7 linked regions of the Coturnix japonica genome follow. The protein of the gene in region 1 interacts with the protein of each later gene in a pairwise test. Links are inferred from orthologs where the notes say so. Each region holds a gene or a part of one and is shown in the gene's direction. Other genes may lie near its edges. The genes, in order: ATXN1, SLC51A, YWHAE, CCNK, STAM2, HPCAL1 and LASP1.

Evidence for each region.
Region 2: the proteins of ATXN1 (region 1) and SLC51A interact in binary tests that used the Homo sapiens proteins (3 or more experiments, as listed by UniProt). The link is inferred for Coturnix japonica from reciprocal best matches to the Homo sapiens genes ATXN1 and SLC51A.
Region 3: the proteins of ATXN1 (region 1) and YWHAE interact in binary tests that used the Homo sapiens proteins (3 or more experiments, as listed by UniProt). The link is inferred for Coturnix japonica from reciprocal best matches to the Homo sapiens genes ATXN1 and YWHAE.
Region 4: the proteins of ATXN1 (region 1) and CCNK interact in binary tests that used the Homo sapiens proteins (3 or more experiments, as listed by UniProt). The link is inferred for Coturnix japonica from reciprocal best matches to the Homo sapiens genes ATXN1 and CCNK.
Region 5: the proteins of ATXN1 (region 1) and STAM2 interact in binary tests that used the Homo sapiens proteins (3 or more experiments, as listed by UniProt). The link is inferred for Coturnix japonica from reciprocal best matches to the Homo sapiens genes ATXN1 and STAM2.
Region 6: the proteins of ATXN1 (region 1) and HPCAL1 interact in binary tests that used the Homo sapiens proteins (3 or more experiments, as listed by UniProt). The link is inferred for Coturnix japonica from reciprocal best matches to the Homo sapiens genes ATXN1 and HPCAL1.
Region 7: the proteins of ATXN1 (region 1) and LASP1 interact in binary tests that used the Homo sapiens proteins (3 or more experiments, as listed by UniProt). The link is inferred for Coturnix japonica from reciprocal best matches to the Homo sapiens genes ATXN1 and LASP1.

What each region holds. Positions count from the first base shown.
Region 1 is NC_029517.1:67,425,141-67,428,640, forward strand, and holds part of ATXN1 (ataxin-1), read left to right. Parts: intron 1-1,617; coding exon 1,618-2,148; 3' UTR 2,149-3,500. UniProt on the Homo sapiens protein: Chromatin-binding factor that repress Notch signaling in the absence of Notch intracellular domain by acting as a CBF1 corepressor. Binds to the HEY promoter and might assist, along with NCOR2, RBPJ-mediated repression. Binds RNA in vitro.
Region 2 is NC_029524.1:12,997,857-13,002,054, reverse strand, and holds SLC51A (organic solute transporter subunit alpha), read left to right. Parts: upstream 1-1,477; 5' UTR 1,478-1,589; coding exon 1,590-1,624; intron 1,625-1,760; coding exon 1,761-1,855; intron 1,856-2,022; coding exon 2,023-2,177; intron 2,178-2,266; coding exon 2,267-2,340; intron 2,341-2,415; coding exon 2,416-2,574; intron 2,575-2,669; coding exon 2,670-2,781; intron 2,782-2,856; coding exon 2,857-3,003; intron 3,004-3,153; coding exon 3,154-3,259; intron 3,260-3,385; coding exon 3,386-3,522; 3' UTR 3,523-3,698; downstream 3,699-4,198. Other genes in the region: uncharacterized protein LOC107318217, read right to left, coding at 108-217, 304-425, 574-638. UniProt on the Homo sapiens protein: Essential component of the Ost-alpha/Ost-beta complex, a heterodimer that acts as the intestinal basolateral transporter responsible for bile acid export from enterocytes into portal blood. Efficiently transports the major species of bile acids (taurocholate).
Region 3 is NC_029534.1:3,989,822-3,993,833, forward strand, and holds the start of YWHAE (14-3-3 protein epsilon), read left to right. Parts: upstream 1-1,212; 5' UTR 1,213-1,349; coding exon 1,350-1,413; intron 1,414-4,012. UniProt on the Homo sapiens protein: Adapter protein implicated in the regulation of a large spectrum of both general and specialized signaling pathways. Binds to a large number of partners, usually by recognition of a phosphoserine or phosphothreonine motif.
Region 4 is NC_029520.1:43,658,512-43,662,744, forward strand, and holds the start of CCNK (cyclin-K), read left to right. Parts: upstream 1-1,433; 5' UTR 1,434-1,568; intron 1,569-2,647; exon of another isoform or gene 2,648-2,666; intron 2,667-2,855; 5' UTR 2,856-2,917; coding exon 2,918-3,114; intron 3,115-4,043; coding exon 4,044-4,125; intron 4,126-4,233. UniProt on the Homo sapiens protein: Regulatory subunit of cyclin-dependent kinases that mediates activation of target kinases.
Region 5 is NC_029522.1:30,549,718-30,553,710, forward strand, and holds the start of STAM2 (signal transducing adapter molecule 2), read left to right. Parts: upstream 1-1,193; 5' UTR 1,194-1,321; coding exon 1,322-1,361; intron 1,362-3,993.
Region 6 is NC_029518.1:88,237,448-88,241,504, forward strand, and holds the start of HPCAL1 (hippocalcin-like protein 1), read left to right. Parts: upstream 1-1,257; 5' UTR 1,258-1,489; intron 1,490-4,057. UniProt on the Homo sapiens protein: May be involved in the calcium-dependent regulation of rhodopsin phosphorylation.
Region 7 is NC_029542.1:3,769,946-3,773,412, forward strand, and holds the end of LASP1 (LIM and SH3 domain protein 1), read left to right. Parts: intron 1-271; coding exon 272-422; intron 423-498; coding exon 499-593; intron 594-1,180; coding exon 1,181-1,354; 3' UTR 1,355-2,967; downstream 2,968-3,467. UniProt on the Homo sapiens protein: Plays an important role in the regulation of dynamic actin-based, cytoskeletal activities.

The sequences.
Region 1 (3,500 bases):
AAGCATGGATGATTCCCAAAGATACACAGCTTTTGGTGGGGTGGGGAAAGCATAAAAAGAAAAAAAATTATTGTAGCAAACAGGAAGGAGATGATAAAGAGGCAAAGTACAGCAATGTAAATGAGAAATCTGTGTCCAGTAGGAAAGCCTACAGCTCTATGTGGACAGAGGGTTCCGTTTAAATCCAGAAGAGATGGTAGTGAGTGTTCCCTCCCCACTCTTCCTCGTCACACCCTTTACTGGGTTGCGTGTCTTTGGAATATGATCTCAAACTCAGGGCAGATGTTTCTGTATTTGCCTGGTCATATAAATTTGTAGCATATATTTATAGATTTCTTAAAGTTTTTTTGTATTTTTTTTTTCCATCAGTGGAATCACCTGTCTCATGAACTGCAGTTGTCTGCTAGGGCATGGTATGGGTTTGACCACTCAAAAGCCATGAGGAATCTTTGGCTTTTGCGATCTGATGGCTCTGCTCTGTGGGACATCCTACATCCAGCCCTCTTGCCAAGGGGGATGATGATCCATCGGGTGAGGTGTGCAGGGAGCTGCCTGGGGTCCTGTTTGCAGGCAGGGTGCTTCTGGGGGAGCAGCAACAGTAGGGAGAGGAGCAGAGCTACCAGTTGTGGCTAACCAGGAGCCCTCAGGATGCGTTAAGCTCTGTCCTGTAGGCCATGAGTCAGAGGAGCCCACATCTACTGTGTGAGCCCATGGACAAACATGGTGCAAAGATCAGCAGGTATTTGAGTGCTGTATCATGTTAGCCCTAGGATCCACCACGAGCACAGTCATAGAGCAGCAGGCACCTGCTGCTGGTCTGCTCTCCTGGATACCACAGCTGCCTGTATGATAATGAGGTATGACCCAGAGCCATGTACATTTTGAAAGTGGGGACTAACAAGGTCAGGCTGAGAAGTGAAATCAAGAATGCTTTTCATAGGTAATAATCAGAGAGGTGGGCTGCTGGAAGAGCAAGGTGAGAAGGGCACAAAATAGCCCAGGCCCATTACTGCTCAGAGTAGGTGGGTTCGTTCCCAATGCTGCTACATACACAGCTCTCTGCTCACACCTGTGGCCTTCCCTTGTAAGTCAACATTTTCAGCCATTTCATGTTGGTAAGTATGCAGCTGCATGGGCAGGGACAGAGAAGGAGAAGTGACGTTCCCATGGTCATTTAGGGAATCACGTGTTATTGCTGGGAATAGAGCCTCTTCCAGCTCAGGGAGCCATCCTCTGTCTGGAACGTATTGGTAGGCATGGACGAGAGGCTGAGGTATCATGAGGGCACGTCAGGGAGTAGAATCTGTTAGCTGCCAAAGCTGTTTTGCCTGCTGGGTCTCTGTGAGCAGCTGGATAGAGGTAAAGATCGATTCCTGTTGAGGTTTTGTGTTAAGTGCTGAGCTCAGAGAGTCTGTTAACACCCGTTTGACAAGGACAAGCCTGAAGTCTGGTGCTCGATGTGCAGATTTCACAGATACCAAATGGCAGCGGCACAATCCCTGCTTGACTCTCGCGAGCGACGACTGCTGGCCGCTGCTCATGTGCACCAAGGCAAAGGGCCTGTCTGACGCTCTCTCCTCTCTCCCTCTCTCTCTGCTGTCTCCTCTCTTTCTGCAGGTCAGCGTGGAGGTCTTGGTAGAATACCCTTTTTTTGTATTTGGACAAGGCTGGTCGTCCTGCTGCCCCGAGAGAACCAGCCAGCTCTTTGATTTGCCATGCTCCAAACTCTCAGTGGGGGACGTCTGCATATCTCTTACGCTCAAGAACCTGAAGAACGGCTCTATTAAAAAGGGCCAGCCCGTGGACTCAGCTAGCATCTTGCTGAAGCATTCAAAGAATGACAGTCTAGCTGCAAGTAGACACAGGTATGCGGAGCAGGAAAATGGGATTAATCAGGGAAGTGCACAGATGTTAGCTGAGAATGGTGAACTGAAGTTTCCGGACAAAATAGGATTGCCTGCAGCACCTTTGCTCACCAAAACAGAACCCAGCAAGCCCCCGGCAACGAGGAAGAGGAGGTGGTCAGCCCCTGAATCGCGGAAACTAGAGAAATCAGAAGAGGAGCCACCTTTGACTCTTCCCAAGCCTTCTTTTATTCCTCAGGAGGTTAAGATTTGCATTGAAGGTCGATCCAATGTAGGAAAGTAAATGTTGTTTGGGGAAAGGAAATTAGGCTATCCCTTGTCATTTTTATCCAGATTACTGTACTGTAGACTAAATAACCCAGTATTTACATGTTATCATCTTATTTTAGGTTTATGTTATAACCTTGTTGTTATAGTTGCAGCTGGTATTATGCAGGAGACTGGTGCATATGTTTTTCCACAAGTGTTTGTCAGTGACTAGGTTTCCTGAGAGCTACAGAAGGGGCAGTATCTGCTTCACACACCCTTAGTGGAAATGAATGTGTTGTCATGGCTCCTGTTTTCTAACACCTCGTGTAGGACAGGGTCCAGCTGTGATTTTGGTTTGTTTTCTTTATGTTTGTTTTTTTTGTTTGTTTGTTTCTTTGTTTTTAGGTTTTTTGTTTTGTTTTTTTCCTTGTTTTGGTTCCTGTTCCAGTTTTTGGGGGGAGGTGAGGAGAAGGGAACTGTAGCAGAGGTGTGTGTCACGTGTGGTGTGCGTGTCATGCATGGTGTGCATGTGTCACGCATGGTGTGCATGTGTGCGCGTGCCCGGCCTGAGGCAGCCCTGTGGCCATGGGGGCTTGTGAGGAGGTTTTCTCACTCCAGGTGAATGCGGAGGACGCAGCCCCACAGATGTTACCAAAAAGGATCAGATGCTTTCTGACCTTGTCAACAATAAGCCAACTCTTACTCAAGATTCACAGTATATATATGTACACATATATGTGCATGTATATATATATGTATATATATATATATATATATTTGTGTGTGTGTGTGTGTATCTGTACATATATATTTCCCCCATGGGGTCCGACTGCACTGATTTTTATTCGTGAAGCAAGTGCCACACCAACCTTTCCTTCTGCTTGCTCGTGCAGTTCGTTGCCAGAGGCCATGCACACACACACATACATACACACACGGGGTGATTGTTCTGCACCATTCACCCTGTTGGGCTGCCTGGTGGCGTGGGTGTGCACAAGTGTGCGTGGGTGTGTGTGGGTGTGCAGGGAGCCTCAGGCTGGGTGACATGCCCTCCTCAGGCTCACTCCTGTTTCTGTGCAGTGTTAGACACATCGGTCAGGTTATGCCATGGACATTTGCTTCCACGAGGGAGATGCATACTGCCCCTTTGAGATCACAGGCACACGTCATTTGCAGTTAGGTTGCAGATCTCGGTCTTTAACTCTATAGTACTGTTTTTGGTTCATGATTATGGACAACTGGTGCCACTTTTTTCAAGTTTCAGTGTGACACAGGAACCCGATGTTGAAGAGGAACGTAGAATGTCTTTAAGCACTTAAAATGCTGTTCACACTTTCTGGCTGAGCATCCTGGTCTACCGCTCAGTGCGTACTGTATCTCACTTTG
Region 2 (4,198 bases), on another chromosome or scaffold:
AGCACTGCACACTTGGGTGTGCACATGAAGGGTGTAGAGTGTAGGGATAGGGGATACAATCAGTGGGGCTGCGATGTGCTGGAGGTGTGCAGCACTGTGTCCCTTACCCTCCTGCAGCTATCACAGCAGGCAGAAAGAATTTGCTGCCAGCAGGAATGGTGGCAGTGCTGCTGCTTCACTGTGCTGCTCCGCTTCAGTGCGTCCCTCTGGGTCCTTCCTGCAGGTGACACAACAGGGACCCCGCTCCCTACAGACCTGGCGCCATCCCCTGCTGTCCCACCCCCCTGTATCCGCACATCCCACCTGCCTGGAGGAACTCCAGGTTGGAGAAGCTGAATGCCAGCAGGCTGGTGGCAGCCTGGATCAGGAGGATGGTTGTGAGGAAGGGGCCCAGCGGCAAGCTGTGCAGGGCCAGCCAGCTGTACCTGAGGGATGGAATGGGGCACGGAGCTGTGGTCGGGGAGCAGGGTGAGCACAGAGCTGATGCTCGACTCCAGCGTCCCTGAGATGCTGGTGGAAAAGGGCAGCTCTGTCACCCCATGTTGCCATGGGTGCTACTGTAGAGTGGCTTACGGGTACGAGACCAGCAGGTGCAGGACCAGGAGGATGCTGAAAGGAAAGGAATCAAAAAGCTCCATGGTGAGCAGAGCTGCTGCAGGACCCTCACAGGCTGGACCGCATCCCCTTCCCTGGCAGCTGTGGCACAACAATCTGAGTTCCACTCCTATAGCAACTACTGCATCCCCACTACTCCCCATGGCAACTGCAGCTTCTTGTTCCCAGAGCGCTGAGGACTCTCTTGGGGTGTGAGTGCCACTCTGAACTTTGCAGGAGTCCACAGGAGCTCATTTTCCTTGGGGTGCTGTGAGGGCACCAGCAGTGTGATCATACCCACTGCCCAGCTGGGTGCTACAGTCCATTCAGGGCAGGGACACGCTGAATCCCAATTCCCAGCTCAGAGTTCTCCCTCCCCCAGGCCAGAGCTTTGTCAGTGAAGCTGGTGCTGGTACCAGCCCTGCCCTCTAGCGTCATGGTGCCTGGCTAACTGCTGGGAGCTGAGTTCTTGCAACCTTCTCACCTGCTGTCCTGTGCCAGGCCACAGGAGTGCCAGGAAGGACAGACAGACACTCAGCCATGTGCCAGGCTTCCCGTGGCCTAGCAGGCAGAGTGGTACCAGGGTGGCAGGCAGTGCTACACCAGGTCTTGCCCCACTCATCCTGTACCCCAGCAGGAGGACACATGGGGACCAGGGCACCCAGGCACCACGGGGTGCCCATCCGAGCCCATCTGTGGGGTGTCCAGCAGTGTGGGCAGGCAGAGCCCAGCACACGGAGCTCTGGGGACATGCAGGCATGATGGCACAAGTCACAGACACTCCTCCCAGGTCAATAACCGTGTGGCTGAGGCACTTTGTGGGGCTGGGACACAGCCAGGTCCTCACCAATGAGAGCCCAGAGCTGGTTAAACTTGAACAAGACACCAAAGCCTCCCCGCGGTCCCTGCCCTCGGGACTCTGACCCAGTGTGAGGACAGCACAGGGAAACCAAGGCAGGCAGTGACAAGCAGCTGGTGGGACAGAGCTGGGCAGGATGGACCCCACCATGGAGCTGGCAGATGACCCCAGGTAGGTGCCAGGACCCCCATGCTGCTGGGTCTCTTTGCAGTGGGATTTTGGGTTATGTAGAGGAAGAGGTGATGTGAGGACCCCTTGGTGTCTCCATTTCCCTGCTTGCTCTCAGCAGCTCCCCCCTTCTCCGTAGGTTCCCTCGGCCGTTGGTGGAGATGCTGATGCTGAATTTCAGCGTGCCGGCCGCGTGCTTCTCCCTGCCACCCACCTCCAGGCAGCTGCTACAGCGTAAGTGTGGGGAGGGGGCAGCGTGGGGGGATTCTCCTCTGTCCCCTGTGGGCGCAGGGTGGGGATGGAGGGGGAAGGCAGAAGGCTGCTGCTTGGGTCTCAGCCCCCCACCCCAGGCAGGGGGGAACAGGCCTCAATAAAACCAGGTTTTTGCCCCTCCCTGGCAGAGCTGGACATGGTCCAACTCTCCATCACGGGCCTGGCCACCATTCTGACACTGGTGTCAGTCGTCATCTATGTGGAAGAAGCCCTCTACATCTACCGCAAGACCAGCTGCCCCATCAAGATGAAGACTCTCTGCTGGAGCAGCTCAGCCCCCACGGTGAGCTGAGCCTGGGGGCAGCACCAGGGGGTCCAAACCCCCCCATGGGGATGGGGGACAGCATTGTGCCCAGCCCGTGTCTCCTCCAGGTGGTGGCTGTGTTCAGCTGCTTCGGGCTGTGGATCCCACGCTCCATGATGGTGGTGGAGATGGCCACCACAATGTGAGTATGACCTGAGCTGGGACAGCGGGACATGGCTGCTTCTGTCACCTTCCTCTTCCTCCTTCTCCTCCCCAGGTATTTTGCCATCTGTTTCTACGTCATGATGATGGTTATGGTGGAAGGCTTTGGGGGAAAGGAGGCCGTGCTCAGCATCCTGAAGGACGTGCCCATGGTGGTGAGCACCGGGCCCTGCTGCTGCTGCTGCCCCTGCCTGCCCCGCATCACCATGAGCAGGTGAGGGAGGGATGGGGCAGGGCTGTCCCTCTATAGGACGTCAGGGTGAAACAAATCCTGGGCAGGGGGATGCAACCAACTTCTCCCTGCACCAGGAGGAAGCTTCGTCTACTGATGTTGGGGACCTTCCAGTATGCCTTCCTGAGAACAGCTGCTGTCTTCCTGGGGCTGGTCCTGTACACTGATGGGAACTACAACCCTGCTGATGTGAGTGCTGTGGTGGAGGACAGGCAGGGGCACATGTGACAGGGCAGCCCTGCCAGCTACTGTTCTTCCCCACAGATCTCAGCAGAGAGTGTGGCACTCTGGATCAACACCGTCATTGGAGCCTCCACCCTCTTTGGGCTGTGGGCGCTGGGTATCCTCTTCCGGCAGGCACGACTGCATCTAAAGGAGCAGAACATGCAGGCCAAGTTCACCTGCTTCCAGGTAAGCCAGCAGCTTAGTGAGCACCTGAAGCACAAGGAGAAGGTCTTCATGGCCAGAGCGAGGCAGTGGGACAAGGTGGAAAGCCAGCCTGGTTATTGAGCACAGTGGCTGCTTGTGGGTCCCTGTGACGGGTGGTGCTGTTGGTTGCAGGTTCTCCTGGTGCTGACAGCACTGCAACCCGCCATCTTCAGCATCCTGGCCAACAACGGTAACATCGCCTGCTCACCACCCTTCTCCTCCAAGGCCAGGTCACAGCGTGAGTTGGGAGCTCAGGGCGAGGGGGGGCTGGCTCCTGGCTAAGCACCTCCAGCACACAGCAGGGAGGGGATGGATGTGGTTGGTGAAAGCACCTTCAAATAATCTCTCTGTTTCCTGCTCTCAGAGATGAACATGCAGCTGTTAATCCCGCAGACCTTCATCCTGGCGGTGGTGGCACGGATGTATTACCGCAAGCAGGATGACAAACCGGGCTACCAGCCTGTCAGCATCGCAGCCACCAGCAGCAATGCCAAGGTGTGAGCAGAGGAAGGTGCAAGGGTAGAGCAAGTCCAGGGTGCTGCCAGCCCAGCAGAATGCTTTGAGCCTGCTGGGAGCAAAGGCAGCGGAGGGAGAAAGGACATTTTGGGATGTGGAAGCAGCCCTCCAGCCTGGGGGTGGTGTTCCTGACTGGCACTGAATAAAGATAACTTTGTACATGTGTTGTGTTGGTGGCTGGGATTGGACCTCCTCCTCCTTGTTGGGCAGGACACGATTTCAGGTGGGAATGTGGAAGATCCTCAAAGCCTCGTCTCCTTCCAACCATGGCTAAAATGGCAGATGAGGAGAACACATCTGTGCTAGAACAGCAGAAGGGATGAGGCACACAGAGAGTAAAACGATTTTGCATTTATTTGGCTAATTGTAAATGCCAAAAAAAACCAACTAACTCCAGCACAAGTAAGACACAGAGTTGTGCACATAGGGCCATACAGAGAAACCAGCACAGTGGACACTGACTGGGAAGAGCCAGCCTGAGGCAGCTGAGGCTGGAGGGGACAGCACAACCAGTTGATGCACTATGGTCAGAGATGGGCAGATCACCAGTGCTAAGAGCAGAGCCTGGCATGAGCTGCACATCAGTGCTCTCACAGGGCCCCCTCCTGACCTCCCAACACAACACACAGGGGAAGGGAGGAGTGGGAAAGGCAGAATTAGT
Region 3 (4,012 bases), on another chromosome or scaffold:
GCAGTAGCAGCCCAATCAATGTGTGTAAATGTTGTGTGTGCAAAGGACAAGGCAAGGATTGCATCAGGAAATTGAGGATCAAGTAAAGTCCCTACGTTGAGGCAAATCGAATTGATCATGTACAGTCCCACACAAAACTAAGTCTTAGCTGCTGAGAAAATAGGCTTTTTTAGTTAAGATTTATGAAGGGCGGAGGTGATTGTAAGTTGCGCAGTGTTACACAAATACACTGACCGTAATCCGCTGGGATTCTATATAATTCTATAAAAATCATAGTAATATTTTAGGTACATCCATAAGCAAACCATCCAATTGTCAGTTTTACACAACCTTAAGTCTTCGTTAACTTGAAATAATGCAATGAAATGAATCAGGTGACAATAAACCGATGGTTAAACCTGTGCCTCTGATCAGTGGGCACAACATAGAACACAAATGGATACTCAGCTCTGTCCAAGAGGTGCCGGGGATGCTCTGTCTCTGCTGCGTATCAGAAGCTGCAATGGCCTCTGTGGGCTCTCACACCTCAGGAAGGCCAAGAGCCTTCAGCCCATCCAAGGAGACACTGGAAAAAGAGATACGAGCCTGTTCATAGCGGATACGAGCTCATACCCACCCTGAACAAACCTCACGTTTATCTTAGCCAAACAGAATCACTTTTCTTTTGCTTTTTCTTTGATTTGGGAAACGGGGGGGTGTTATCATAACGCTTTCAATGCCTGCTCGGTGGATTTCAGGCCTCTGTGAGGAATTGATGCCACATTCCTCTCACGTTCCAGTTCCATCCCCTCAGTGATCAGTCAGTGATGGCAGCCACAGCGCTCCCCCATCACACAGCCTGCCTTTCTACAGGCATTCCTATACCCGGGACGAATACAACAGGGAAAGGCCGCTGTACTTTGAATACACCAGATCTGAGAGGAAGGAGAAAAGCGCAGCCAGACTGAGGGAAAACCCGGCCACTCCGATCCTCCCCGCACCCCCACCCGGCTCTTTAACACACTAGCAGGGCTCCCTACCAGCACCCCCAACCCCAACCGGCTCCGCACCGCGGCCCTCGGCCTCCACATCGCGGCGGATCCGCATCCTCACGGCCGCCGCTCAACAGCAAAATGGCGGCCGGTCCCAACCCCGGCCCGGCCACATCCCGCCCGTTACTAAGGAGCCGCCGTTGCTATGGGATGCCGTAGGGCGCATGCGCGCGGTTGTGGAAGTGCCCGGATGCAGCGGGAGGAGGTGCTGCCGCCATATTTGCCCGGAGAGCAGCGAGCTGGTAGCTGCTGAGCCCCACAGACCCATCGGCTTCCATCCGCCCCGTACGCTCCCCGACGCCGCTCCGCCTGCAGGACATGGACGATCGGGAGGATCTCGTCTATCAGGCTAAGTTGGCCGAACAGGCTGAACGTTACGATGGTGAGCGGCGGCCGGGAAGGCCGTGAGAGGCCAAGGGGAGAGAGAGGGAGGGAGCGGCCACAAAATGGCGGCTGGGCGGGGGTGGGGGGGGCAGGGGCGGAGGAGGGGGGCGCCGACAAAATGGCGCCGGGGAGCGCCCCGAGGGCCGCGGAACCGGGGATGGGGGGCCCTGAATGAGCGGGCGGCCTCGGCCTGGGCGTGGCCCGCTACGGGGGGCGGTGGCGGCAGAAGCCGGGAAGAAAATGGCGGCCGCGAAGGGCGAGTCCTGGGGGGGGGAAGGGGGGAGCCGCCCCCGCCTCGGGGGTCCGACAAAGAGACCCCACTGCTTAGCGCCGTGCGGGCGGCTGTGGCGGTGCCGGGCGGCTCCTTAGTGCTGCGTTTCCCTCCGGCCGCGGCCCCGCGGAGCTCGGCGCTGTGGGGCTGAGCTCGGTTCGCCGCAGACAACGCCCCGCTCTCCGGAAGGTTCGTGCCGGCCCCTCGGGGGGGGCGATGCCGGAGGGACCCGAGGGAGCGGGATGGCGCTTCTCTTTCTCTCCCTTCGCTTTCCATTGGAGGCACGGCTCTCATTCACCCTGCAGCCGTCTGGCACTGCCCGTCATTACCTGAAGGAAGAACACATGCTTTCATTACACGCTGGAAATCATTACAGACCATTTTACGTTCCCACTTTGTCTCTTTTTTCCTCCCCCCCCCCTTCCCTCATTTGCCTTATGAAATTAGAGCTCTGATCCCTTTATATCTTGGGGAAAAAAAAGGGGCGGTGGGGAGGAGCTGGCAGCCCTGGATGGTATTTCTTGCCCCCAAAATGTCTGCCGTGTGACTGTTCCCTTCAAGGTGCTTTTCTTGCCTATAGAAGAAAGGGCCTTTAATTTTCTCAATGGGGTTGTTATTTCTGCCCTTAGATCTGTATTTCAAGTGGAAGAAAAGCCGGTGTGTGTGTAAAGGGTGGGAGTACAGTTAGGTTTCATTTAGAAGTGGGGAGATGCTTTGGGTCCTTTAATTGATCAGGGTTTTCACAGAGCAGGGAAGTCAGCTGGTGAGAATTAGGCTTTGTTCTCTGAGTTACTGCTTAGAAAACTTCTGATAATGGGATTCCAAAGCTGAGAAATACACCTTTTGGGGGAGGAAAACAGAAATGAAGGAGTAATTAAGACCATCTGCAGTGAATGTTCTGGTAGAAATGGGGTAGGAATAAGAATCGTACTGAGTGACAGCAGCCAGATAGTCTCCTTGTTGTAACTGCAGGGACTTGGGGGAAAAAACGTCCCCCAAAGCAGGTTTTGTGGGGTGACTTGTGCCCACCCCTTCAAGTAAGATGCAGCTCATAGTAGGAGAGCAACATCTGTGGGTACAAGTGGTTGAGGAGGGGGGTGTAGATTTGGGGTATCTTGGTTTTTTTGTCTCCTTAGGAGTGTGGGATGGGAAGGTGCATTGTTCTCATTGCTGCCATCTTCCACAAAGACCACAAATCCAGCAGTATTGGGGTGTGTGTGGGGGAGGGTTTGTTCACCTGGTACAGATGAGCCTCAGCGCAGGGGTGAGCTGTGGTTTGAATGGAACTCCAGGCTAAGGATGTTTGGGGGATACATCATCCTTTTGAGGTATAACTGATGCTTTCCTAGCTGAATGGGAAGTCACTTCTTTGGAAAGCAATCAGACCTTCCCTTATTGTAGAAATCTGCAGCACAGCCTGATTTCCTTATCAAAAAAGGTTGATAGAGATAGAAATGCCACACAAAGGCAGTCAGTGGGCTTCCAATCCCAATGCTCCAGTGGGTGTTTGAAGAATGAATTGCCTAGGTCAGAATTCAGAGGGCTTCTGTGTGGCTTCTGAGTGTTAATAAGAACACCCTCACTGAGGAGGTAATGATAATCATAGTGTTCTTATCTTTAAAGCAATATTGTGGGATTCAGACTTGCAGAATTTGTTGGCATGGAGTTGAATCAACAAATTTAAGGTGCATCCCTTAACTCTCCATGTTGTTCTATAGCTTTCCGCCTTTTTTTCTGTCCCTGGCCTGGAAAAATAAATACTGTAGGTACAGGTTTAGCATCTAATTCTGTATCGTTCAGTTGGAAGCAATTAAAAAGTGAAGAGTATATTCTCATTTACATGAAAGTAAGTGCTGAGGCTGCTCAATGTGAATGAAATGCTGTGGGGAAGTGAAGTGATGCTTAGTTTCATTCTTTAGTTTTACCTTTGAGATACATGATGGTGAGGTAATAGTGAATAACTTCCAGATACTACTGATGGTAAGTACTGGCTACAAATGTGCTGGAATAGAAACCTGTTCTGTGACTTGAATATGAATGTAAAATGACAATTTTTGATGTTTAATGTTAGGATAGCGTTACGTTCTGCCACATCTTTCTCAGTGAGGCTCAGCGTGCTGTGTGGTTAGAACAGCCATGGTCCATGGCATTTGAGGCAGCTTCTAAGGTAGGAATCTAATAAGTTTTTTGGGTTTTTTTTAGTTACATGACCCACTTAAGTTCTGAAGCCTTGCAGGCTGTGCCTGCCAGTTGTTGGGAATGTAGTTCTGTCTCTGTACAGCCCTTGGTGTATCGGCCCAGATTAAGAGGACAACTTTCTTAGGTG
Region 4 (4,233 bases), on another chromosome or scaffold:
GAGTTGAGATGTCAAAGTAACGTTGTTAACACCCATAGAACAGAGGCATCCAAGAAGCATCTGGATAGAGAGCTAGAAGATATGGTTTAGAGGTTTTCTGTAGGTATGGTAAAGGGAGGACGGTTGGACTAGATGATCTTGTAGGTCCTTTTCAACCTTGTGATTTTATGAGGCATCATTTGAAGAGACAGGTTATATATTACATATATATATATATTACACATTCTCAGAAGGGAGACAGAAGTTGCACACAGCTTCAACTCATGAGCAAAATCAAGTTCATAGAAGAGCAGGTACCAGGCTTCTCAGCCCAAACTCTATGCTGCATAGAACAGCTTCCAAAACGAAAGCTGGGATTGTTCTGACAACTCTGTGCTGTGTTTGGGCAGCAAATCAATTGCAAATTGAGGAAGCTGTTCAGAACTAAAGACAACTGCAGACCACAAGCTTCACTTAAGCAACCCGATGAGTGCATGGGCGGGAAGAGGATGAGGAACAGCTGTGCAAAGTTGGGTTTCAGCAGCACCGAGCTGCCCAAAGAGCGACTTGCTTGCAGGCAAACAGCTTAAAGGGGACTCAGAAGTTATTTGACGTTTGACCCAACGCTACGGCCCCCCGCCCCGGATTTAGTGCTGGTGAACGGGAGGGTCAGAGGGAGCGAAAGGAAGGAGCGGGCAGCGTGATGGAAAGGGAAGGGATGACATCACGGGGAAAGCAGCTCCAAGCCGGGCGTCCCGCTCCGGCCTCCGAGGGCCAGGCTGGAAAGAGAGGTTGCACCGGGCTCAGCACAGCCTCATCACAACGGAGGGAGAAACGCGGCGGAGGGAGGAAAGCGAGGGGGCGGCGAGGCCTGGGCCGGAGGAGCGCAGGAAGGGAGGCGGCGGGGAGGGCCGCGGAGGGAAGGGCTCCGGGAACGAGCCCGCCGTGCGGGAGGCCGAAGCCCGAGGGGTCCCGGCACCGCCTGCACTTACCTCCCGCACGGAGCGGCCGCGGCCTCGGCTGCTGGGAGCGGCGCCGGACCCAGCCCGTCCCTCCGCCGGACGCCGCTGCCCGCGGGTGGGAGGCGGAGGGCGAGTGAGGCCCAACCCCGCACGGCCAGCGCACGGCCCCGCCCCCGTGCTGCTATTGGTCAAAGCACGGCCACAAGGCAAGCCCCGCCCCCAGCGGGACGCTCGGCAGCCAATCCGCTGCCTCGCCTGTAGGCACTAAAAAAGGGCATGGCGGCTCCCGCATTGGCTGGGAGAGAGCTCACTCCTTCGGCATCTCATTGGCTTGCGAGGTTTGCAATCTTGTCCTCTAAGCCCTTTGATTGGTCCATTCTAAGGCGAGGGGAGACTGCTCCTCGCGCTTAGCAGCCACTGAAACAGACGGGATTGGTTGCGGGAAGGTTCCGCCGCTTCTCATTGGCCGCCGCTCGGGGCTGGCGCGCTGAGTCCCGGTGACGTTGACGTGACGCCGCAGCGAGCGGACCGACCTGCTTCCCAAGATGGCGGCGCGCAGAGCGCGGGGGCCGCGCTGTCGTTAGAGGCCCGGCGCTCCACAACGCTCCGCTGTCCCACGCGAGGCCTGTGAGTGCGCGGGGAGCTGGGCGGCCTTCTACGGGTGGGGGCCCGCTCCTGAGGCGGGGAGCGGGGGCACCGGGTGTCTGTGTGAGCGGGGGAGGTGGCACGGAGCCGGGTGCGAAGGCCGCTCCCTGAGGGGAGTGCGAGGGAGCCGTGATCGGGGACCCCAGGGCTCCTCGGGGCTGGCGGGGTCCGGAGGGGGCGGCCCCGGGGCGCTGTGTGCCGGGGGGGGGGCGGGGAGAGGCGGTGTCGGGGCTGCGGGGCTCCGCACGCGGAAGTGGCTGTGACAGAAGCGGGCCCGGCTCTTTAAAAAGCTCCTTAAAAGTCGCCGTGGGGAGGAACCGAAACGGCTGCAGAGCCGTAAATGAGGGGGGGAGCCGGACAGAGCTGTAAGCGGCTGTTGGCCTGTGTGTGACAGCGGGCACAGGGCTGTGTCAGCACGGCGAGATGGGGAGGCCCTTGAGTGCAGTGATTGTAGGTGGCACCTGACCAGACAGACCTATCTCAGTTGCCTTGATCTTCATGATCTTTTTAACATGCATCTCTACTCTACTGTTTTTTTCTTAAGTAACTCAAGTGCAGATGATTTAACAAAGGTTTTATCCAAGTGTTGCCATTCTGGTAGTGTTTCCAAGAGACCCAGTAAAGTGCTGACAATAGCAGGACACGGGGAAATGGTTTTAAATTAAAAGAGGGAAGATTTAGGTTGGATGTTAGGGGGAAGTTCTTCTCTAGGAGAGTGGTTAGACCCTGGAACAGGCTGCCCAGGGAGGTTGTGGATGCCCCGTCCTTGGAGGTGTTCAAGACCAGGTTGGACGGGGCCCTGGGCAACCTGATCTAGTAAAGGTGTATGTTTGGTGGCCCTGCCAGGCAGGGGGGTTGGAACTACATGATCCTTGAGGTCCCTTCCAACCCGGGTCATTCTGTGATTCTGTGTTTAAATTCCTTTCAGGCTGACCTAACATATGTGTCCTGGTTTATGAAGAGTGATTTGATTTCATCTCCCTCTTTCAGCTGTTCAAATCTTGCTGCTGCTATCACTAAATTGTTCAGTCTTATTTTATGGACAAAATGGATTAAAGTTGTTCTACAGAAAAGTAGCAGGTGCTTTTGATAAAACGTTGAAGTTTCTCTATCAAAGAATTGCAAAAGTAATCATATATAAATCTAGTCTTTGAATTGTATTTGCATTATGTCAGGAAGATGAAAACGTGGTTAAATATTACTTGTCTGTGAGCATGGAAAAAAGATTCCCCTTCATTTTAACATAAGTTCTTTTTGCTTTTCTTAAAGGTTCCAAAGCTCCTAACTGGAAACTTTTTTGAAGCCATATCAAGCAAGATCAGTTCTAATAAATGAAGGAGAATAAAGAAAACTCCAGCCCTTCTGTAAACTTGGCAAATCTGGACCATACAAAGCCATGCTGGTACTGGGATAAGAAAGATTTGGCACATACACCTTCACAGCTTGAAGGGCTTGATCCAGCCACCGAGGCACGGTACCGCAGGGAGGGAGCCAGGTTCATATTTGATGTGGGAACACGTTTAGGGCTGTATCCTTTAAACTCCTGATAAAGTGTTGATGAACGGGGGTTTTAAGAGTTAAATATTGCAGAATATGTGTAGCTAGTTGTTCTAATGTTTCTTTATCATGAATCAAAAATCTTTCTGAGTGTTACTTGATAGTTTTAGCCATTTGTTGGGTAATCAAGGTGTTTTCTGAGAAGCAAGAGAGTTTAGTTTTGTCAATTATGGATATTCTGGCGGTTACCAGATATGGCCTCTTATATGATTTCTCAAACTTTGAATTTTATGTTTATTTTTCTATATTGTTTAACTTTGGAGATTCCAACCTGTGATCCACCACCCCCCACTTTGTTTTTCTTATAGGGTGGAATCTACAACTTTATGTATGTTGGTAATTTCTCCCCATTGTCTCAACTCATGGATACCACTCAAACTTTTTGCTTGCTATATCCCTGTTACTTCTTTTAATCCCGTGAGTTCTTTGTTTAATAGATCTTGAAGATATAATTTTGCATTTATTCTGGCAAAGAATAGTAGGGAGCCCGTTCATGTTGCAGCTGTGTTTGTAGGTATGAATATTTAGTAACTATTTCCTGCAGTAACAGTTTCATGAGGTGTGATACAAAGCGACACTTTTACTCCTGTTTGTGCCTAATTCTGCTTTTGACCTTCTTGATGATGGTGCTTATCACGCAGATGACCACGCATAGATGTGATATGGGCTTTTCTTACTCCCAGTAAATGCTTTAGGTGTCGGCTGCATCTGGATAGAATTTGCACAATCCTAAGGGGGTGTGGCTTCTGTTTCTCTTTTAATTGCAGTGTTTTTCAGCCAGTCGCTGAGTGGACAGTTCCTTGAGATATTTGATATATCAGAGTGTATCTTTTTCATTGGGTGTGTTTGATTTTACATTTGTTCTGTGACTTTCTTGAAGTTCCTTATCCTGCACCACAGACACTATGATACTTTAGCAACAGGAATAATTTATTTCCATCGGTTTTATATGTTTCATTCCTTCAAACAGTTCCCAAGATATGTAAGTATTTACAATATTGATTACCTAATACTGTGATTACATGAAGGATAGGCTTTCTGAAATGACTACAAGTCGAGGGCATTACTCCTTGCACAGCTCTTGCTGAAT
Region 5 (3,993 bases), on another chromosome or scaffold:
CTCAAGGATCATGTAGTTCCAACCCCCCTGCCTGACAGGGCCACCAAATATACACATTTACTAGATCAGGTTGCCCAGGAGACCCCATAGACCCCATAGAGACCCCATAGACCCCATAGACCCCATAGACCCCATAGAGACCCCATAGACCCCATAGAGACCCCATAGATCAGGTTGCCCAGGGCCCCATCCAAACTGGTCTTGAACACCTCCAAGGACGGGGCATCCACAACCTCCCTGGGCAGCCTGTTCCAGGGCCTAACCACCAATTGATTCGTCCTGTCTTTTTAAGGCAATCAAACAAATTAATGACGTTTTGACTCCGCTTGATTCACTACGTGAAATCATCAGTTTCGACTGAATTCGTAAATTTAAGGTCGAAGGAAAAACACTCCGTTTTGTCATCAAAATCCTCCAAAGTGGGAGAGCGGTGCCACCTGCAGACTGCTCCAACACAGCCACCAGCACAACGGGAGCTCCGTCCCACACCGCAGCCCGTGAGTCATTAAGCTGCTATAGAGGCAGCCACAGAGCCAGCAAAGCTAGAGGGCATTTGATAATTAGCCCGATGTGGTTAGAAATAAACGCAAACTGCCTTCATTTGTCAAGAAACGTCCGTGTGTGCTTCAAGTTAGACTCCATTTCTCATATACAATCCAGAAGTCCTTGAAAGTATTCACAGAATCACAGAATGAGCCGGGTTGGAAGGGACCTCAGGGATCATGTAGTTCCAACCCCCCTGCCTGGCAGGGCCACCAAACATACACCTTTACTAGATCAGGTTGCCCAGGAGACCCCATAGATCCCATAGAGACCCCATAGACCCCATAGATCCCATAGAGACTCCATAGACCCCATAGATCCCCATAGAGACCCCATAGATCAGGTTGTGCCCATGGCCCCGTCCAACCTGGCCTTGAACACCTCCAAGGACGGGGCATCCACAACCTCCCTGTGCAGCCTGTTCCAGTTCCTAACCACTCTCCTAGTGAAGAACTTCCCCCTAACATCCAACCTAAATCTTCCCTCTTTTAACTTAAAACCATCTCCCCGTGTCCTGCTATTGTCAGCCCTTTCGACAACCCAGTTACAGGGGGATGAGAAGTGAACATCACACACACCCCTCTCTCCTCCCGTCCCGCCTCAACATGGCTCCTCCCAGCCGTGACGAAGGGCCGTGGCCGAGGCGCCGAGGTGCGGGGCCCGCCCAAACCCCGCGAGGTCCCCGGGCTGCCCCGGCCGGTGCCTGATTCTCCCCGCCGCATTCGGCTTTGGGGCCCGGTGTGAGGGGCCGGAGCGGGGCCGGGCGGCCGCCGTGGAGATGCCGCTGTTCGCGTCCAACCCCTTCGAGCAGGACGTGGGTGAGTGAGCGGGGAGCGGTGCGGAGCTCGGCGGGACGCGGCTGGGCTCGGTGCAGCGTTGGGCCTGTGAGGGGTGAGCGGCGGCGATGCCCGGCCGTATCTCGGGTCGGCGGGTCGGGCTGGGATTGTGGAGGCCAAGATCGGCCTTGGTGGTGCCGGCGGCGGGATAGCGCCCACCGGGTGTAAGAATGGACACAGCCCCACTTCGGCCCGAGCCGCCGCTCCGTTCCATTGCAAAACCGGGGGCTGGTGCGGCCGTGACTCAGCCGGGCTGGTCCGGGTCGGGTCGTGATCCAGCGCTGCCCTCGGGGACATCCAGCTTGTGCCGTGTCTTGTTGTTGGCTTTTTGTTCTTTAAAGGCCCGCTGCTGAGCTGCAACACAGCAAAAGCAATTAAAATTTCCCCCGTCCTTGGAGGTGTTCAAGACCAGGTTGGACGGGGCCCTGGGCAACATGATCTAGTAAAGGTGGCCCTGCCAGGCAGGGGGGTTGGAACTACATGATCCTTGAGGTCCCTTCAAACCCGGGTCATTCTGTGATTTCCCAGGGCTTTAGGTACGAGAAGAGTTTTGTCATTGCCGAATCGTGGAACCAGAGGAGTTGGAAGGGATCTTGGAGCTCCTCCAGCCCAGTCCCCTGAGAGCTGGTTCCCCAGAGCTCATTGCAGGTTCCCTAGAGCAGGATTCTGGCCACTGGCAGGAAGAAGTGGTGGCTGTCAGTGCTCACGTTAACACCCCAGTTCCTTGTGGTGAGTGTAAGTCCTGCTCCTCTGCTCTGTGCTGGTGAGGTTTCACCTGGAGTGCTGCGTCCAGATGTGGAGCTCTCGGTACAGGAGGGACATGGAGCTGCTGGAGAGTGTCCAGAGGAGGGCTACAAAAACAGTCCACAGGATGGAATGGAACACTTCTCCTATGAGGACAGGATCAGAGAGCTGGGGCTGTGCAGCCTGGAGAAGACAAGGCTCCGAGGTGACCTGATAATAGTGGCCTCTCAGTGTCTACAGGGGAGCTACAGGAAGGAAGGGGATGGACTCTTTAGCAGGGTCTGTGGTGACAGAACAAGGGGAAATGGCACTGAGCTTGAAAAGGGTAGATTTAGGTTAGATAAAAGCCTTTTACAGTGAGGTTAGTGAGGTACTGGAACAGTGGTGTGGTTGATGCCCCATCCCTGGAGACTGTCAAGGTAAGGCTCAATCAGACCCTGGGCAATCTGACTTAGCTTGGTGCCCCTGTTGGTTGCGAGGGAGCTGGACTAGATGGCCCTCAGAGGTCCCTTCCAACTCTGAGGTTTCACTGTTATCTTCGTGTGCCTTCAAAGTTTGTTTATTGAAGGCTTTGCCTTCAGTTCTCTTTGATGTTGACCTGTGGCTAAAATGAAGTAGCAGCCGCTTAGGCCAGCTGTACTTGTTTCAAAGAACTTGTGTGTGTTCTGTACCTTTCTCATAGCTCTGATGTATTTGCACAAGTGAAGACTTCTTGAACTGGGGACTCACGGCTGTACAAAATCCTTTGTCAAAACTGAAAAGCTGCAACAGCTCTAAAAGCATAGGGCTGCAAAGTGATGGTCAGTGTGCCTCTAGTTTCTTAAACTCTGTATTATACATAGCGAGTAGAACTGCTCACACATGCTGCTATGAAACAAGAGCAGTGGGCTGGGAATTTCATAGTTATTGAGGCTAAATCTCGCAGTGCCTTGCTAGGAAGAATCTACTTTTGTGCCACTAGGAGCTTTTTTTTCTTTCAGCTATTATTACTTAGTAAATCAGACAACACGGAGCAGCAAATAACTGAACACTGTTGTTCTGTACTTTCCCTGGTGGTACTCACCTCAGGCTGCTCATGCTGCTGTCGAGCTTTAACTTTGTGATTCGAGGTTTTATTTTCTCATTCATCTTTTTGATTTATAAATAATAAAGGTGCGTACCACGAGGGCAGTCGAGCTCTGCTGATGTCCTGATGCTACTGGGAAGGAGAGCTCTTCCATCTTCTTGTCCACTCAGGTGCTGTGGGTTGCTCTCTGGGCTGATTCAGTGCATTCTCTTCAGCAGAAAACAGATTGCAGTGGAGTGCTTGGCTGACAGTTGGGATCATCTGTGAAGGCGATGGAGTTTGGAGGCTCGGATCAGCTCATCAGAGGCTGCAAAGTGGCAGTGAGGGGCAGGGCTCCCTGGGAAGGTTGAAGCCCTACTTCTGCTGGCAGCAAGAAATTGGGTTGGTTTGGATATCTGTTCAGGCCATGCCTTCGGTATTGCAGCTTTCTTGGGAGGGGGCCTTTAGAAATTATAGATAAACACAGCTGCAGCTGTTGTTTTCTTAGTTCTGAACTTGTGTTTGCTTTGCAGTAGATCTGCATAGGGTCTTACTTCCTCAGCATTTGCTTTGGTTGCATTGTCTATAGTTGCAGTTCCATGAGATGAACCTATGGGATAGTTTCAGGAGTTCCATTTCTCTCACCTGTGGGTTTTTTAAAGATTCTTATTATTTCGGTAGAGAGAAGTGGTGTTTTTTTTTTTAAATTCTTATTATTTTGGTAGAGAGAGTGCCACGAGACTTGAGTTCTTTAAAGGGTTTGGAACATTTTAATTTCCTATCTAAATCTATTCATCATTAGTTCACACACACTCGCTGTTTTCC
Region 6 (4,057 bases), on another chromosome or scaffold:
TGGCATTGCTCACATAGGGTGTGCAGGGAAACAGAGGGGATTACTCATGTGTAACCACCCCCCGCGAGGAGGAGCGGGCTGCAGGCGTGTGAAGTTGGCAGTGACGGTGCTTGCATCTAGTTTTCCATTCTGTGTTCCTGTTTCGAGTCGCTTCTAGTTTTAACAGCACAGGTTCGCCAGCTTCCCAGCTTGTTTTTTGCCTTGGGCCGACCTTTATGTGTATAAACATATAGGTCATTTTTTAAGTCGGCAAAATGGTTCGAGCTGCTCTGAAAGGGGCTGGAGAAATGGGTTACTGCAGAGCAACACTTTCAGCTTTGCATCAGTAGTTACAACGTATTCCAGCTTTGCATCAATAGTTACAACGTATTCCAGCTTTGCCTTAGAGGTGAAATGTGGCTTTTTTTTCCTTCTATTTTTGTTTCTTAATTCAGTTTTCTGCCCTCACAGTACGGAGATAAGCTCTGAAAACCTGCATTTCGGAGGCTTTTTGTGCCTCCCAAGGTTTGTTGCTGAAATCTCTCCAGATCTTTTGTTCCTGGTGTGGCCCTGATTTCAGCTCTGCTCGGTTCTTATCTCGTGCGCTCGCCTGGACTCCTATGAAGGAAGGCAGAGTGAAAGCTGCCGATAAGGCACAACGGGAACGGCGTTCAATTCTCTATACGTTCCTGACTTGAAAGCGCGCCGGGCAGGAGCTAAGGGAAAAACAGAAATCCTAAAGGAAGGATTCATCCCCCGTGCGCTCTGCAGGCCGTAGCTCTTAGCAAGGCTTCCCATGACCTCCCTCGAGAAGCAGCTTAGCACTGAGCCCTCAATCCCCTCCATTTTGTGGCAGGGTGCGCTGTGCGGGCGGCTGTCCCCGGCCAGAGGCAGCGCACCCGTAGGGATCCACCTGCACGGGCACGGATGGGGAGGGGAGGGGCGGTGGGTACGTGCTGGCTGCGGTGGCAGAACTCGTTGTAGGGCCTGCAGCTGAGAGCTTCCTTGTTTGCACTGGGGTTAGAAGAAAAAAAAATAAAAATAAAAAAAAATAAAAAGGAGAAAAAAAAAAGGAAGAAAAAAAAAAGATAAAATATATTAAAAATAATTTTTTAAAAAAAGAAGAGGGAATTAAAAAAGCAAAAAACCAAAGAGATCAACTTTTCCCCGCCGCCCCGCACTTCCTGCCCCGCGGCGGCCGGGCGATACCAAGTGGCTGCGGGCTGTTGGGCGGCCCCGTCGGGGCGCGGCGCTGCGCAGTGCTGCGGGATCCGGCTCCGCTCCGCCCCCCGGCGCCGCCGCTGCCCCGCGGGGAAGTTGCGCTCCGTGCCTCGCTTTCCCGCTCGCTCCCTCGGCGGCGGCTCTTTCCTCCCCCTCCCTCCAATGCGCCTCCCGCTCATTTCCTCTTTTCCTCTCCTCTCGCCGCCGCTCCGCAGGCGTGCGGCTCGCCCGGGCTCCGCCGCGGAGTTGTAGCTGCCGGGAGGCCGCCGCGGGACCGCTCCGCAGCCGGGTGAGGGGCGGCGGGATGCGGGCGGCTCGGGGGGCGGCGGGGGGCAGCGCCGGGGATGCTACGGGGTGGAGGTGCGCGGTGCCGGGAAGAACGGACGCGGGGATCCGTGCGTTCCGCGTGCGTTAAGGGGGATCTTGGAGCCGGCGAAGTTCGCTCCGCACGAGTGGCGTTCGGGGAGTCGGCTCCCCGAAATCTTACTTCCTATTGCCGTCTCTCGAACCGGCCCTGGCTGAACGCTGGCTCCGCTTCGGTCGCCCCTCCCCCGGGGCCGTTCAGCGGCCCGATGTCCGCTCGGTGCCCCGCACCGGGAACGGGGGGGAGCGGCGGCCGCAGCGGGCGGGGAAGTTTGGGCTTAGTTTGGGAGAAGGCGGCTGTGTAGTTTGTGTGCGTATGAGAAAACGGCGGCTTTATTTCCGCAGGAATAATGCTAGGCGAGCGCTGGAGCTGCAGGCTGTACCGTAGTCCCGTTCACAAATATAAATGTGGCAGAGAGACGGAGTTTTCTTTGCGGGGAAAACAAACGGAGGAGGCAATAATTCCGTCCCCGACACGTTTTCTCAATGGGAGCCGTTTGTTGTGGCTGTGGGTTCAAACGCTCCCGGCTCCTCTCGGCACAGCCCGGCGGCCGTTCGGGCAGCAGCCGCCCTGGGTGGTGCCGGGGATGCTGCGTGTGCCTGCACGGGGACCGCATCGCCGCCGGTGCTGAGCCCCGGGGCCCTTCCCCGCACGCGAGCGGATCGCACGGCAGCTGCGAGCCTCGGCTGTCATTAGGGAAAGGCACTTTGTGCTCATCTCTGCCTACGCGAGATGGGGAGATGCCGGCCGGCAGCGCTGCTTCTCTGCCACACCTGCCTTCTTCTTGCCTTCAGTGTGATGGTTATGTCTGGCTTAAAGTGGAGGAAACTGTGTAGGGGAGGGAAAAACAAGAACCGCTCGCCTCTTTAGAATGGATGTCGCAATGCTGGCAGCAGAACTCGTGTGCTGTCAGCTATCCCGGTGAAAAAAGCGCTTTTTGTTGGCGCTGCTTCATCTTCTTGGGGAGCAGTGCTGGGTGGGGAGAGCTGTGCCAGCTGCAGAGGCTTTCTATGTTACAGCTGGATGCAGGGCTGGCATTGGGCATAAGGGACGGGCACAGGCAGCTGGTTTGGGCTGAGCAAGTCAGCTTAGGGACTGTGGCTCTGCAGAAGAAAAAAAAAACCATAAAAACAAAACCCAAAGAAATCCGACATGATCTGTGATTCGGAATGGTTGCGATTCAAAAAGATTCGTGCAGCATCATTTGTTGTATTTTTGAAGCCGTGCAAATAGTTTTTGATGTATTGATTACCTTGATTTGAGAGGGATGGGAATGCTGGTAGACGAAGTGGGCAGTCTGAGTTGGAATTCTCTATAGTGTAGGGATTTTTCTTGCTTTTGGTGATACGAGACTGTGAGGAATGAGACTGTGCTCTGTGTGTGTGTGAGATGCACTGATGCTCGTGGGAAGGGGATCTCTCGCTTGCAGAGCTGCTGCTCCTTCCTTCAAACCTGACTCCTAGGACAGCTTCAGTAACAAATGCTATACGTTTTCCAGCGAGTGGAACAAAAACTGACCATTTCTTTTCTGAAATGAGCTCTTTCCCTTGTTCCTCCTGTGCTTTCCATAGTGGTTGTATGTGGGATCGGTTTCTTGTGGAAATCCAGTGCCAATGGCTGGGAGACCCATAGGATGGGCTGCGCAATGAACGATACATTACCTTGCGCTGTCTGTGCTACAATTAGAAGGCAGGAGCCTGGAGGCTGCATCCAGCTCGTAATGTGAGAAAGACTGCACGTCTCCTGGGCTGCATCGCACAACATGTGCCACTGGCAGTAAGAGATGCTGCTTGTAACTAGGGGGTTCAGGTGAATAACCTGTCCAACCCAACCAGCTTTTCTCTTCTCTTGCGCTCTCAAATGTCTTTCCTGATGACTGAACTACCTGTATTGAGCAATGCAATCTACTTGGTATCTGTCTGGCAAAAAAGCAGAACCAAAAGCTGGGCACAGCTATAGTTACGTACAGCTAATGCATCCTCCTTTGAGACCTGCCAGTTTTGTTGATGACATCTACAATCACTGCTAGGATTTCAGTGGCTGTGATCTTAACCTCATCAGAAAGGTGTCTGGCTGATGGTAAACCTTCAAAACTCCAGCTGGGTTGGAAGGTTTGGCTGGTAGGGACAGCTGGAGACCTCAAGGGCAGGAGGCTGAGTCCCAAGAGGCTGCTTTGGCCTCAGAGATGCTTGCTAGAAATGAGGCATACCGAGATCCTGATGCTTGTGCCAGGAGGGTTGGCTAAGCTGAAGCAGCTGGCTTTGCAATTAGATTGAATTTCTGTTTCAGACAATGTGTTTATCGTAAGGAATTAACCAGCGTGCTAGTCAGAGTGGCAGAGGTGTTTGTTTCCAGTTCTCCAACCATGCAGAGTACGAGCATTGGGATGCGAGTGTGCACACGTGTGTGCTGGTATGCAAATACCAAACGTGTGTTTTGAAGGAATAATGAACCTTGCTCCTGGCTATCCCCACTCTGCCCACTGACCACATC
Region 7 (3,467 bases), on another chromosome or scaffold:
CCAATGGCAGGGTATTCATTAACAGGAGCAGCTATTAATTTTTACATCACGACCAGGCTTTGAGTTAACCCTTTGCTGCAGTGATTGCATGGTGGGATCACTTAAAGTGCTTCTGCTGTGTGCTCCTGCAGTGCAGGGGGTTGGGGGGCTGCATCTGTGCCTGGAAACCTCACATATCTCCCCCCAGGACCCTGAAGCCGTCCTTCCCCTGGGCACAAGGGGAAGTCAGGCTGCTTGGTCCTCCCCATGTACCTCTTGTCCTCCTCTGTAGATCAAATACCACGAAGAGTTTGAGAGGAGCAGGATGGGCCCCAGCCCCAGTGAGGGCGCAGAGATGGAGCGTAGGAACTCCCAGGAAAGCACCAATTACCGACGACCGGAGCAGCACCAGCCACAGCACCACGTCCAGCCCAGCAACCCGGGTAAGGGCCATCCCAGCACCTGGGGGCTTCCAATGGCCACAGGTCATTGTGTTAATGGTGTATCCTTCTTGCCCAGTGTACCAGCAGCAGCCACCAGCCTCGCAGTCCTATGGCTACAAGGAGCCTGCAGCGCCTGCATCCACACAGCGCAGTGCACCCTCTGCAGCGGGGGTGAGTGTGGGGTCTTTGGGGTCCCTTCAACCCCGAACCGTTCATTGATCCTATGGTCTTTGAAGTCCTGTTCGACCCAAACCATCTTATGGTTCAATGATCTTTGAGGTCTTTTCCAATCCAAACCATGATGTGGTCCTGTGGTCTTTGAGGTCCCTTCCAACCCAACCATTCTATGGTTTAATGATCTTCAAAGCCTCTTCCGACCCAAACCATTCATTGATCCTATGATCTTTGAGGTCCCTCCCAATGCAAACCATTCATTGATCCTATGATCTTTGGGATCCCTTCCAACCCAAACCATTCATTGATCCTATGATCTTCAAGGTCCCTTCCAACCCAACCATCCCATGGCTCTATGATCTCTGAGATCCCTTCCAACCCAAACCATTCATTGATCCTATGATCCTCGAGGTCCCTTCCAGCCCAACCATTCTACGGTTCTACAGTCTTTGAGGTCTTCCCCAACCCAAACCATCTGGTGATCCTGTGATTCTTTGATCCCATGGCTACTGCTGGCACAGCTCTTCTATGGGCTGGGTTCCCCATGGTGGGCTCCGTGCCCTCTGACTTCTCTCTCCTTACAGAAGCGTTTCCGTGCCGTCTACGATTACAACGCAGCCGATGAGGACGAGGTCTCCTTCCAGGATGGTGACACCATCATCAACGTGCAGCAGATCGATGACGGTTGGATGTACGGCACGGTGGAGCGCACGGGTGACACGGGGATGCTGCCCGCCAACTACGTGGAGGCCATCTGAGGGGGTTGGAGCTGAACCCCCCCCCATTCCATAACATGGCCCCAGTGTGCTCGCGTCTCTCTCTCCCCCAGCATCCCTTCCCTCTGCCGGAGCCGTGTCCCGACGTCTCGGTTTCTTTGTGTTTCTGCAGCCACCTCTGGTTTCTCTCGCCAATTGTAGCTTTGTTCTCACTCTGCCGGGACTGAGGGTCTGTCTGCGAGGGATGACGGGGGGCTCTGGGACCAAATGTTTCTCCTTCTGCCTTCCTCCTCCCCTCTGCAGGGGATGGGATGGGGCGCACACACACCAGGCTGCCCCACATCCACCCCCAGCCCCCAGTGAGCTGGGAATGCAAGGGAAGGGAGGAGCAGGATCATTTCCTTAGGACCAAACATCCCACCTCTTGGGGGCAGGGAGGGATGCTGGGGGGGACCAGCTGGCAGCACCTTCCCTGCGCTGATCTGGCTCTGATCTCGTCCCATTGCTTCCCCTGGCTCTCTGTTCACCATTCCTATTTCTACTGCGCTCCCTCAGTCCTCAGTGTTGCAAACCAGAAGGATATTTGTGGTTAAAACCTTTAAAAATATATATCTCTTGGGATTCAGAATGGTTCCAGGAGCAGCTCCTGCTGCTTTTTTGGGGGGGTCCAGCTGCCTCATTCTGCATCCCAGGCTGAGAGGTGCCACCATGCAGGAGCACCTGCTGCCCTGACCTCATGTCCCCCTGCAGCTCCGGTTCTCCCCTTTTGGGTCCTCATCCCTGTGCCTCTATGGGCTGAGTGTGATGTATTTCTCTGCTCTGTTACTGCACTGGGACTGTGCTGGGGGCTGTCCAGAAGTGGGAAGATGGGGGGTTTAAGTACCCTGAGCCCTTTGCCATCCCCCACCTCTCACCCATTGGTCCCCAGCAGTGGTGGCTGCTGATGTGGGATCGCATAGTGGACCAAGATCTCAAAGCACATCTCTGTCCCCTTCCCTTTTAGGCTGGGAAGGTCCCAGAGCTGAAGGTATAACTGGAAGCCTTGCAGCCAGGTGCTCATGTCCCAAAGGACCAAAGTGACCGAGTTCAGACAGCCCTCAGCTCTGCCTGGGGACAATCCCATGGGACGGGGGAGGACCCCATTGGGAAAATCCCCCCCCCTCTCCTGCCTCCATCCCACCAGGGTGGGCTGCATGGGCTGGAGGGTCCACTCGGTGCTACACAGGCAAGGAGGGGAGGGGGCAGAGAGTCCACATCCCTCCCCATAACCCCATCCTTCATCATCCTTGTCTGGGAAATAGTAGAGGGGGGGGATTGTCAATGTGAATAAAGCGTTTTTTAATGGACCAAATCACACAGGTGATCACGTTTTGGTATACAGACCTTTTTTTAATGCTACCTTGGAACCATTGTCCTGAGTCTCTGCTCCCCTTCTCCCCCCCATTTTATTGTGGGAAACAAACCTCTTACTGCTTCATTTCTGCCTTTTTCTCTCGACTTATGCACTTTTTTGCCTTTTTTCATAGCTGAAAAGCACCTGAACCTGTATTTAAAATAAATAAATGAATTAAAAAAAAAAAAAAAAAAACATTAAAAAAAGAAAAAGAAATGGAAAAGCTTCTCGTCACGTGTTAAAATAAACCTCGCCCTTCTCAGCTGCCCTGGTCACGTCTCAGTGCTTAGAAGGTGTTTCCTTTGGATCCACCACTTGGTTGGGGTTTGTCTTCACATTCTCCTTCCTATGGGGCTGAGTCCCCCCCCCCCAACAATCCGTCCTTTGGCCTTTTTAAATCCAACCCTCGAATGGAACAGATTGATCCTCCTTCTTGGTTTCCTCCACAATAAAAGTGTGGTTTCTACCTGCCCGTGGTGCTGGTGTCATTGCAGTGTGCCCGCTGTTCCCTTGTGCCCCTGGGACACAGGGGGGACCTGGAGACATGGGGACCCTGCAGATCCTTGTGTCTGAGTGCAGCCCAAGGGGGGATTCAGCAGCTGCATCCAACCCTGAGCAGGGGGTGAGGGCTTGGAGGTAGGTGGCTCTGCTCGCCCTATTGCCTCTCCCACCTGTGTCTGCTGTTCCCATTCCATCTATGCTCCCTTTGGTGATGCAGACGGACTGAAATGGGTTGAGAACCCAAAAGCAAAGGGAGCTGTA